Oryzias latipes: one gene and its partners. The protein of the gene in region 3 binds, or shares a complex with, the protein of the main gene of each other region. Links are inferred from orthologs where the notes say so. Each region holds a gene or a part of one and is shown on either strand. Other genes may lie near its edges. The genes, in order: mettl3, wtap and rbm15.

What was found.
Region 1: rbm15 (region 3) and mettl3 share a complex: the UniProt entries of both Homo sapiens proteins name them as parts of the WMM complex. The link is inferred for Oryzias latipes from reciprocal best matches to the Homo sapiens genes RBM15 and METTL3.
Region 2: rbm15 (region 3) and wtap share a complex: the UniProt entries of both Homo sapiens proteins name them as parts of the WMM complex. The link is inferred for Oryzias latipes from reciprocal best matches to the Homo sapiens genes RBM15 and WTAP.

The regions. Positions count from the first base shown.
Region 1 is NC_019876.2:17,633,616-17,637,108, forward strand, and holds part of mettl3 (N6-adenosine-methyltransferase catalytic subunit), read right to left. Parts: intron 3,140-3,493; coding exon 2,949-3,139; intron 2,867-2,948; coding exon 2,411-2,866; intron 574-2,410; coding exon 398-573; intron 1-397. UniProt on the Homo sapiens protein: The METTL3-METTL14 heterodimer forms a N6-methyltransferase complex that methylates adenosine residues at the N(6) position of some RNAs and regulates various processes such as the circadian clock, differentiation of embryonic and hematopoietic stem cells, cortical neurogenesis, response to DNA damage, differentiation of T-cells and primary miRNA processing.
Region 2 is NC_019882.2:7,325,363-7,329,518, reverse strand, and holds the start of wtap (pre-mRNA-splicing regulator WTAP), read left to right. Parts: upstream 1-1,268; 5' UTR 1,269-1,351; exon of another isoform or gene 1,352-1,488; intron 1,489-1,541; exon of another isoform or gene 1,542-1,618; intron 1,619-2,029; 5' UTR 2,030-2,037; coding exon 2,038-2,067; intron 2,068-2,169; coding exon 2,170-2,225; intron 2,226-2,298; coding exon 2,299-2,357; intron 2,358-2,452; coding exon 2,453-2,580; intron 2,581-3,913; coding exon 3,914-4,092; intron 4,093-4,156. Other genes in the region: sod2 (superoxide dismutase [Mn], mitochondrial), read right to left, coding at 343-371. UniProt on the Homo sapiens protein: Associated component of the WMM complex, a complex that mediates N6-methyladenosine (m6A) methylation of RNAs, a modification that plays a role in the efficiency of mRNA splicing and RNA processing.
Region 3 is NC_019865.2:10,859,883-10,864,026, forward strand, and holds the start of rbm15 (putative RNA-binding protein 15), read left to right. Parts: upstream 1-1,243; 5' UTR 1,244-1,407; coding exon 1,408-3,945; 3' UTR 3,946-4,144. UniProt on the Homo sapiens protein: RNA-binding protein that acts as a key regulator of N6-methyladenosine (m6A) methylation of RNAs, thereby regulating different processes, such as hematopoietic cell homeostasis, alternative splicing of mRNAs and X chromosome inactivation mediated by Xist RNA.

The DNA of each region.
Region 1 (3,493 bases), on a different chromosome or scaffold from region 3:
AGAAAAACCTTTAAGCTCATGAATTTAAAGCGTTTCGCTTCACGGACAAAACCTGAACTGATCGGAACAAATGTAAGAATAAAAAGATGAGCGAGAAGAGTAAAAATGTAAAATCTGAATTTTATCCTAGAATTAAAGCAAATTACAAAAAAGCAATAGAAAAAAAAAAAGTTCATCCATAGAATTTAATGAGATGTGTGTCAAAAAGCAATGGCTATATAGTTAGATGAGCTGCTTTTTGTTAGATAAATGGCGCCATCTTCAGGTTGAAATAGGTAGTTTTTTTTTTCTAATATAAATATAAAACAGTGGTTTCTTCTAATTCAGCAACATCAAACCAGAGTGAGCTTTAAGAAGTCGAGGGGTCAAATGTTGGGCTTTGAGGCAGAAATCTCACCGGAAGTGCAGCTTGGTGCACGGCTGAGGAGCGTCCCCGGAGCGGACGCACTCCTCTTTGGTCCCGTGGTTGCAGAACTCTTGGACCTGAGCGCGTCCTCGCGAGCGGAACTTCTCCACGATGGACTGCTCTTTGGCGGTGCTGGCGTTCAGCAGCTCAAGGATTTCTCTGCTCACCTGCACACATGTTCAGAAACATGATGATGATGATGAAAGAGCATTGACCTCCAACCTGGGGTCAAATGACGATCAGCTGAAAGTAAATAAAACACTAGATTGTAAATTACATTAAAAAGAAAATAAAAAAAAGCAAACTTTGAAAAAGAAAATTTGAAACAAAAATAATTCAAACTTGCGGTAAAAGAAATATTGAAAATCAGAAAAACAATTAAGTTTGAAACTTAAGTTAAAACCCCCTTTATGTCTATTGATGTAAATGTGCATCGAACCACTTCTGCTGCAAAATTAACTGAATTTATCATCTACTTGAAAGCAAAAACTCAAGTGGAATTTATTTTTTTCAGTTGCAAATAAATTCGAGTCTGGAGGGGTTAAAAAAGAACAAATCTAAAACTGTTACCAAATGAAAAATTATGTTTTTTTGTCACAGCTGCTGTTTTGTATTTTCAACATTTCTTGGTGTTGAGACCATTTTTATGTGGGAGTGGAGCTTTGTTCACATCGCCCCTGGCAACAAGAGCACTTTCATTGAAAGCTCTGTTTAAACGAGGCTTTTGCATTCAAAGCTCTCACTTTCCAGCGGATCTAAACAAATTTTGAATGCGTGTTGAAAGTTAAACCAGGTTGAACTTCAGTCAGAGACTCGTACTTAGTAGTGACGTATGGATGGTGTTCCTTTTAATTCACAAAAGTGGCAACCATTTGAACATGAATCATGGAGGAGAAATGAAGAATTGTAGTTTGTGAATTCAATGACAGCAAGTTTTTCATCTATGAGAATAGAGTTGCCAAAGATTCAACTGATTTGCACGGCTTTGACATTTCACACCAAGCCTCTTCCAACAGTAGAAAAAGAAAAGAGAGGAAAGGAGAGGAATGTGTAATTTTGAGTTTAAAACTGCTTTTTTTTTTTTTTTTTTTTACTAATTTCCAGTTTGGAATTTCACTTCCCTTTAAACTGACCCTGATTTGACCCCAAACAGACCCCAAAAATGTAAAAAATAATGAAGCAACATTTAGCTTTAAAGCTGGAAGCTTCAATCATAACAAATAAAATAAATATTTTCTAATATTATCTCATTCACAAAAATGTCTCAAAAGGATATTTTACAAGAGTATAAATTAAAAATTTTCTTAACTTTTAGGACGTGAAGTTTATTTTATTAAATATCAAACATACTCGTGGTTTGAGTCCACGCAGTTTTCAAACGTTTTTCCACTTTTTGGCCAGAAAAGACCTAATATTTTTCTCGTCTGCGAGCCACATGTGACCATCAAAAGAGCCATATATGGCTCGCGAGCCATAGGTTCCCGACCCCTGTAATATTTCATCTTCTTTACATTTACCAAACACAGGTCCAATTTTCCTTACGGTTTTGCTGCTCAACATTGTTAATGGTTTTGATAATTGGACAAACTCAACAGCATTTAGTAGAAAAGACTTGGTTGATCTCCAGGTATGAGGTTTACATTCGTTTCTAATGTATCAGTCAATATCACTGAGCAATGCATAATTATGGGTGTAGATTTTGAAGAAAAGAAATGTTTACTAAGCTAAAAATGGTGATACTTATTTCCTCTTGGCAAATTAATCGTTGACTTTTGGATTTTATATTTTCTTCTGTTTAACTTTAATCTTACACACACCAGACACCGTTTTATTTTCTCTGTTTTGATTATCCGTGTTGTACACGAACGTTCCCTTGATGTGTAAAAATACATTGAAATCCCACTTTAGACTCTTAACATTGATTACTTGCTTTCCTCCGTCTTTCTATCTGTGAAAACATCAGGAGTGAGGATTCATTTCCGGCAGAGAAAAACATTGGATCACCTTCTTGCTTTGCTGCTCCTTGGTGGACTGCTGGTTTAACAGGCTCTCGATCTCCATGTCCACGTGAGAAGACTGGCTTTTGTTGCTCCTGCCCTTCTTCTCGGCTCCGCCCCCCGACGCAGAGGAGCCAGTCAGCTGGGAGCAGGAGGCGGGCGTCAGGGAGGAGATGGATGAGCGTGGAGGAGAAGCAGAGCTCTGAAGGGAAGGCGAGAAGCTGCCGGCTCTGCTACTGAAGGCCACGTCTTCTGCTTTCCTCTTGACCGCCGTCCTCTGGGATCCCGCCACGGATCCAATCATGGCCCACAGCTTGGTGTGATCCACTGCCACCACGACGGTGGAGGAGGGAACCGCGGAGGAGGCAGAGACGGACGTGGGCTGTCGGACTTCAATGAGCTCCTGAGCTGAGAACTTTAGCAGGAGGCTCTGGATGCATCCATGACTGGCGGCAGCTTCAGGCTTCAGACAGATAAACAAAGAAATCATAGTGTAGAACGCCGCATCCAACAGGTTCTTCAATGATCCCAGAAAACCACCTTACATTGTTGAGTTCATTACTGATGGCAAGGGAGTCTATAGGCAACGAAAGACTCAGGTCAGACAGATATCCCAGCAGCCTTTTCTCCAGCTCAGGATCCGGTGGTTTTTCTGTCTCCTCCTGAGAGCTGGATGGAGCTGGTGGAGCCGGGCTGTCACTCCTGACTGCAGAGCCATCTGGGACGGTCCCACTGTCTGAGAGACCAAGAAGGACCAACACATTGCATTAGAAAAGAAAAGAAAACGCATAAACACATTTAACAGTCGGACTCCGACTATATTTATATCTATTGTTAAACCATTTCCAGTCGTCTTTTAATTATGATTATGCTGTTTTGGCCAAAAGCCTGTGTTGTTTTTCTAAAGACATTTTTTCTTTAAAACGGCAAGAGTTCATCAGGCTTCGCCTCTGAATTGTGACCCTCTGCTGATATCCCATCACCCTCTATTTACACGCTCTTCTGCTAGCTTAAAGCCCCTCAACACTCCCAGCTTGTATTAGGGGTGAAACAAAAATAGCGAGCAATATCAGAGGTATCCAGCCGTACA
Region 2 (4,156 bases), on a different chromosome or scaffold from region 3:
AAGGGGGAGAAAAGGCAAAAAACTCAACATCGTTGTGGCAAATAACCTTTTTTTAGCTTGTGATTTTAGCTCAACAAGCCAGTGACATTTACCAACCAATTAAAGTAAGAAATAGAAAACATGAACGAATTTGTACATGCAATAATACTTAAACGCTTACACTATACTAAGAGTTGTTTTCGTTGTACGTCACAAGTTTTTAACTAAGCAGCTAAACCAGATTAGCATTGAAGTTAGCTAACAGTTAGCACAACAAAGCAAACAGTTTTCCACGCTGCTGATACAAGTATTTTCTTTTAGTTTTTGAACTTTACATAAAAATATAACGTAGACACATCTTACCTGCGCATTTGCCAGACTTTGCAAAGCATGTTTGCTTAAAGGTTAGAGAGCCAAGAAAAGTGAAAACAAGGCGGTATTACTGCCCTTGAAATGGGCAATTTCAACTTGACAGCGGAGTCGACCGTACCATTATCAGAATATGGGGATGTTATCGAAAATGGCTTAAATTCATATAAGCTTGAAAGGCAATATATACTATTTTTATATATATTTATAAGATAATAATTATATTTTCGGCAATTCAATTGCAACCAACGTCATCTTTTAAATTTTGAGATTTATTTCTCGGTCTTACCACTTTTCCTTAGCCCTGTCTTTTGGTAGATACCGAAGATTTATTGTAACATGGGGCCACATGTGTGCGAAAAAAATTTTTTTAAGCCCTTTTCGTTTATTGTACTCAAAATTTAATCATATTAAACTATACAATATTTGTAAGGTTGAAAATTTGTAACAACTTTGCGTCACGATTAAAAAATAACTATGTAACCATTGGAATCACGTGGTCTTTGCGTCACTGTGTTGAAATGGATACCAAAGATCGTCTATATCTACAACGAACCACTCTACATAATTTAAATGCGATCTGTTGTGATTGTAAATTTTGTGATCAAAGTAAATCCAGTTTTTTGGTTTGCAATGCAAAAAAGATGAAAAGACGCGTAAGGTTATGTCACATCAGCAAGGAAATAAATTAATTTCCCTTTCTTAGTCATTACAACATTTGAGAATAGTATTGGGTCAACAGCTTTGGATCGTTTTCTTTAGATAAACTAATAATGTAATACATCGCAAACCCAGAAACATTCAAGGAAAAACACAGAACTAAATGCAGTTTTAAATCTTAAAACATTTGATCACAACCATTTTGATTGTCCGGAATTTTAGGATCGGAAAATGTGAGCGTAGTGAGCAGACTTTTCTCTCCTGTCCACTGCTGGTATTACTCCGCAGAAACTCAAGTGCAGTGCAGCACCTCATCCTCCAGAGCCGTCCTGTTCTTCTCTCGGTAAAGGGGATGATTCTGAACACTTAAAGACGAGGCCACAACTTTTAATCAACCACCACTCTTTACGCATTTAAAAACAGTTACAGAGAATCTGTAAACCTCGAAGGTTTTTCGAAACATTGAAGCGAACGGGCCCGGTGAGTGTTATGATCGCGTAGGCCGCGTGACTGCAGCTAAGAGCCCGCTAGTTTCAGGAAAAGAAGCGCAGGGGTGGGAGTCATTTCCTTCACCGCCATTTTGTTATAACAAGAAGCCGAACATAGCTAAGTAATTATACACTTGATGCTTAGATAAACGACACGTTGAAAGATAACATCGCAGGTCTCTAAAATGTGTTTACGTCGCCGAAATGCTAAACGATTATTAGCAGTGAGGGGTTAACCTTGAGTACTTTTTAAAGGAAACCCTCCGCCGCTGACTGCAACAGTCGTTAGTAGTACTCGGCACGACATACCCTATTATCGGGTTATGTTCACTTTAGTTTCGCGGGTTTGTTGAATATAGCAATGGCAGTTCACTGTTGACACTTCAGTTTTGTCGGGAAGGCCCGTTTATAATAATTTTTGAGGGCGTCTGTGATCAAACGTGACGTCTAATATTTAACTGCGTGACGGCCAGCGCGAGGACAGGATGCCCAACAAAAAAAATAACACGTTTTCTGCTTATTTTCATTCCTAGAGAGCACAATGACCAACGAAGAACCTCTGCCCAAGAAGGTGAGTCTGATCCAGATTAAAACTACTCTTTAAGGGTGCTGTTGGTTGGTAATGGATGTCTAAGCAGCTTTTTGTTTATTCTATTTTTATTTTATTTTACAGGTTCGCCTCACTGAATCTGATTTGAAGACCTTGACCAGAGAGGAGCTGTGTACACGGTAAACAACAGCCCCTGTCCCCTCCTGTCTTCTGATGATGTTGAGCTGTTTACATGGATCTCATTCTCCTCAGGTGGAAGCAGCATGAATCATATGTCCAGGTCTTGGAGACTAAATATGCAGAGCTGTGTTGTAAGTTCACTTAAAAAATAGATCTAGCCCGTTGCATCGCAGAGTGTCGGCTGATGAGTTTGTTTCTCTTCCCTCCCATCATCCACCCCCCTCAGCCAACGACGTCCCGGGCCTGAAGGAGTCTGAGGAAAAGCTAAAGCAGCAGCAGCAGGAGTCGGCTCGGAGGGAAAACATCCTGGTCATGCGACTTGCCACCAAGGAGCAGGAGATGCAGGAGTGCACAGTAAGTCTCTCGCTCAGGTTTTTAATATGCAACACTAAAAAGATGAGTTGTTCTAAAGTTGCAGCACCTGGAAGAAATATTTAATGCTTTCTGTATCGTTACAGTATAATTTCTAAACATTTTTCTGCCTTTATTAGATAGAAAGTTTGAAGATAAAATGTTAAAAGCATAAGAATCACTAAAAAAACTTGACAAACCTGAAAGCATCTGTCTTTAGGGGATAAAAACACCAAAATATTAGATTCTTTTTAATTAATATTTCTTTTCAAATTGCCTACAAGGTGGGGGTTGTTTTTTATTTTGGAGTCTATCAATTTACCAAGACACATGTTAAGGATTTATAAATTGCATGAAAGGGAATGTGTGTTAATGAGAACACATCTTGGTTTGTAATCATTCTAGATGAGAACAAGTTGTGGTGGTTTGCAAGCTTTTACATCCAAATATTTAAAGTATTTTCTTTCTTATCACTTTTTAGATGTGGATACTGAATCGCCTGTTTGCTATTTTAAAACGACACTAGAGTGAAAGCAGCTTTTACTTAAAGCCTCGGATGAAAATTGTGTTTTTGACATGTTCTTGTGGGGTTTTTCTAATGGAAGAGGACATATTTAAAGACAGTTAGGCTTAAAGTTGCATTTCTAAGTATTTCTTTATTCAAATCATGAATCAGGAGTGGTTGGTAAAATTCTGCTACATAGGAAAATAGACTGATCTCTGATCTGCTGCATTCTGATCCATCCACTTGTAGGCAGATCCACGTGCGTCTTTGTTTTCCTCGCCTGAGCTGGCATCAGGCTCAGAACTCGTCTGGAAGGCTCCAGTATTGCTCACGATTTTTGTTGCGCTGGTAATGTTAGGTTGAGTCTGTGAAGGGCTGTAAGCTAGCAGGAGAGAGCGATAACAAATGGGTGGAGAAGCAGAGGCAAATTTCTAACGAACAACTGCCTTTCTGCAGAAAATATGTCCTTTAAAATAAAGATATTTTTTACATAATTTTTTTCTACAATTACTTTGTTTTTATATTCTATTTCCTTTTAAGATTACAATGCTATTGTAACACACAAATTTCCCATGTGTGGGATCAATAAAGTGATTCTGATTCTAAAAACAACATAAGCGTAATTACAAGACCACTGGGAAAGTTTTTAAAATCACTCAAAAGAGGATCGAAGTGGGACTTAAAACTAAGCGTCTAGACGCAGATTAGCCTAGATTTTGATCTATTTGAAAGCAGTTTTGTTACATTTTTAAAGGGAAGATGTTTAGGTGTTAAAAGCAGCTTCATAATGTGTGTGACTGGACTCTAACACCTGCCTGTTGCCTCCTACAGACACAGATCCAGTACCTGAAGCAAGTCCAGCAGCCGAGTGCAGCCCAGCTGCGGTCGTCCATGGTGGATCCAGCCATCAACTTGTTTTTCCTCAAAATGAAGGCTGAACTGGAACAGACTAAAGACAAACTGGAGCAGGCCCAAAATGAACTGAGTGCCTGGAAATTTACACCTGATAGGTAAAGACAATCAAAATATCTCCCCCCACCTAAAAAAAAAACAAAACAAAAAAAAAGTCAAGAC
Region 3 (4,144 bases):
ACACCTCAAATTCAGAACACACACACATACATACAGTAAAACAAAATGAAAAATGAATAAAAATTTTAAATCATACTTCCAGTTTCACTACTTTCTGGACACTTGCAAAGAGGCTTCCGATTTAGAAAATAAATCATATGGAACATGTCCATGTGTTTTTGTTTGTATCTTTTAATATTCAGTTAATATGTTGATATTTGGGTCATTCCAGAACTGGAGGACATTTGGGCTGCAAAATTCATGAAGAGCAAACTTTGACTTTTCTAATTCTCTGCTATATAATCGTCAATAAAAGGTAATATCTGTCAAAGGCTTGATTAACTTTGCTTACAGATCAACTGCGAAATATTTATGACATTATATTGATGATGACAAGACTTGATGCAACCTTGTTATCAATTTTTGCAAGTAACAGGGTTGCAAACATGTATTAATATTGACTTTCTCTCAGGAGTAGACGCTAGTTGTTTAGCTGTCACTGAGTACCAATAAGAAAATTAATGTGATTTCAATGGCATGCCTTTTTGCATTTCTGACCACCCCAGAATGAATGGTGATATCTTGTTTTTCTCAGTTGCTACTTTACATGCTAATTTGATTGCTTACTTACTCATAAAAAAGCAACAACAATAACAATAATTGTCTTACTCTGATTATAGGGAAACAGGGTTGCATGAGGCGGAGTGAGACATTCAATCTAGGATAACTATGTGTTAAAAATAAAAGATCCACGTAACTTTTGCTCTACCCATTCTTTTTGAATACTGTTTGATGATGTCAAGTCCAGCATATCACTCTTTGCTATATTCTAACCCTCTTACCTGTTATGGTAAAAGGAATTGTGTGGATTCGGTGGGAAACACATTGTATTGATCATAAATAATATTTGAAATACTTCTTTTATTTAAAAAAATCCCACGGTTACATAAAACACCAATCAAAACAAGATATACCAAAAACTGAATCTAAAATTTAATTTTAACTGCTTTTATTGAAGATTTAATTTGGACAATGGGGGACGGGACAAGAAAAAATGCATTTTAGGGGGTACATTGAGCTTATTTGGCATTTTTTAAATTATTTTCAGTAATTATTTTCACTTAGTTTTGCATGTGGATTATTTAAAATAGGTTTATTCTGAAATGACCCATTTTTTAATCCATCGCTGTGTGCGTGATTGACGGGATTTTAAAAGGTTTTAACCAATCGCCGCCCCCCAAACACCGGCCAATCAGCGCATGGAGGCGGGTCTTCTCACAAATCTTAACAAAATGGCGACTGTTGTTGTTTTGCCGCAGGGTCGGTAAATAAATTCTTTGAACGTATTGGATATTTTCTACATTATTTTGTGGAAGGAGTGCAGGAAAAAGCCAGTTACCACAAAGAGTTTACTCTTCGTGGGCTGCAATGAAAGGAAAGGAGCGGTCGCCGATTAAAAAACGGTCCCGGGCCTTGGACGACATTCGAGAGAGGGGAGGATGCCACCCGACCAGCAAGAAAATGGGGGCTCTCTCCGTTTCCAGTGGGAGTAATAATGGAAACAGTTCGTCCAAAAGCGACAGCGGCTCAACGAGACGGAGCTTGTTGGGTGAGAAAAGGGACAGAGATTTTGAGGGCCATAGTCGGACTGGAAATAATCACAGCTGTCAGTCTGCTGCTTCCAGCTCCGTGGGTAAAAACCACAACCTGAGCCTGTCGCTAGACCTAGCCTCCCCGCGAGCCTCTTCGCGCGCGGAGCAGCGTGTTCCGCCGCCCAGCACCGAGAGTGAGTACAAAACACTCAAAATCAGCGACCTTGGGAATCAGCTGAGCGAGGAGGATATAGAAGATGGGCTTTTTCATGAATTCAAAAAGTTTGGCGACGTGAGCGTCAAAATTAGTCGCAGCAACGACGAACGGATTGCTTTCGTTAACTTCAGGAAGCCGGAGGACGCCAGGGCTGCTAAACACGCCAGAGGCCGGCTCGTGCTCTACGACCGGCCGCTGAAGATCGAGGCCGTTTACACGAGCAGGAGGAGAAGCCGCTCCCCCGTGGAGAGGGACTTGTACAGCGCAGCACAAAGTCACAGACACTTGCAGAGACCCCTGTCGCCCACCGGCCTGGGTTACAGAGACTACCGGCTGCAGCAGCTGGCTTTGGGACGGCTCCCTCCTCCCCCTCCGCCCCCTCTGCCCAGAGAACTGGACCGGGACAGAGAGTTCGCCCTGTTTGAAGCCAGGGCACGTCCAGCTTTCCTTGCAGAGCGAGCAGCTTTTCGTGAAGAGGATTTAATATCTCCGGAAGACGACCAAAGAGCAAACAGGACTTTGTTTTTAGGCAACTTGGACATAAACATTGCAGAAGCAGACCTCAGGCGGGCTTTCGACAGGTTTGGAGTCATAACAGAGGTGGACATCAAGAGACCATCACGAGGACAGACCAGCACATATGGATTTCTTAAGTTTGAGAACCTTGACATGGCTCATCGTGCTAAGCTTAGCATGTCTGGAAAAATAGTGGGTCGCAACCCTATAAAAATCGGTTACGGAAAAGCAACACCCACGACCCGTTTGTGGGTCGGTGGACTTGGACCGTGGGTTCCTTTAGCTGCCCTGGCCAGAGAATTTGATCGCTTTGGCACTATAAGGACCATTGACTACAGAAAAGGTGACACTTGGGCCTACATCCAGTATGAAAGTTTAGATGCTGCTCAAGCAGCATGGACACACATGAGAGGCTTTCCGCTGGGAGGCCCAGAGAGAAGACTTCGGGTGGATTTCGCAGACACTGAGCACCGGTACCAGCAGCAGTTCTTGCAGCCTCTCCCTATTCCACCGTTTGACATGGTGGCTGACTCGTTTGTCCACCGCGCCACGCCTGAACCTCTGAGAGTCAGAGATCGGACTCCACCTCCACTTCACTTCAGGGACAGAGAACTCTTTCCAGCAACGGAGTGGCCCAACCCGGCCATTCGTGAGCGGGTCCGGGGATCCCCCTTTGAGCCTCTGGAACATTTGGAACGCGACCGGAGAACTCGAGAGCCTTGGTCTTTGGAGCGTGAGCTGCAAGGGCGAGAACCAGGACGTAAGAGACGCTTATTGGAGGATGGCCGTCACCTAGATCACTCTCCTGACAGCACTGAGAGGACAGTGAGACGTAGACGTTCTTCTCCAGATGGCAGTCCTGGGGGCAGCAGCAGAGACGGAGGACGTTTCAGTGACTCTGAGCATCCTGTGCACAGTGAAACGGCCTCACCAGCCAGAGAACATGTCATTAGCCTTGAAAGAGGTGGGGCGGATCGAAGGGTTAAAAGCCAGAGTCTTTCTGAGAAAGGACTCTCATCTGCTGGTGAGCGGAAACGCAAAGCGGGCGACAGTGGCAAAGTGCCTGCCAAGAGAGAACGCTCTGAAAGCAGCTCTAAAGGAGCCCAGCAATCCAAACCTGATGGCACCAAACTCATTGTGGCATGGCGCGGAATGCTGCTCCTGAAGAACAGCAACTTTCCAGCCAGCATGCATCTCCTAGAAGGTGACTACGGCGTCGCCAGCGACCTGCTCATCGACGGCTCAACCGGAAGGCAGGTGAGCGAGCTAAAGATCACGCAGCGTCTCCGTCTGGACCAGCCAAAGCTTGATGAGGTGTCTCGGCGCATCAAAGTCGCCGGTCCAGGCGGCTACGCCATCCTGTTGGCAGTTCCTGGAAGCACAGAGGACTCCTCTTCATCTGATCCTATGGCCTCAACCCAGCGGCCCCTTCGCAACCTGGTGTCCTACCTCAACCAAAAACAAGCAGCTGGGGTCATCAGTCTGCCTGTGGGAGGGAGCAGAGATAAAGACAACACAGGGGTTCTTCATGCTTTCCCCCCCTGTGATTTCTCTCAGCAATTCCTGGATTCCTCTGCAAAAGCTCTGGCAAAAAGCGAAGAAGACTATCTGGTCATGATTGTGGTTCGTGGAGCATCTTAAAAAAAAAAAAAGAGAAAAAGTCACAATGCACTATGTTCAAGTGGAATATAAGAAAAAACAAGTCTGCTGTTTGTCAGTAATTATTGCATGCTGTGTTCTGCATTGTGGGGTACACTAGTATGGTTCTTGAGTGTTTGTAAGGTGCCATGTAATTCACTAAAAAGACATATGGTGCCCTGCAACCAAACTAAAAGGTTCA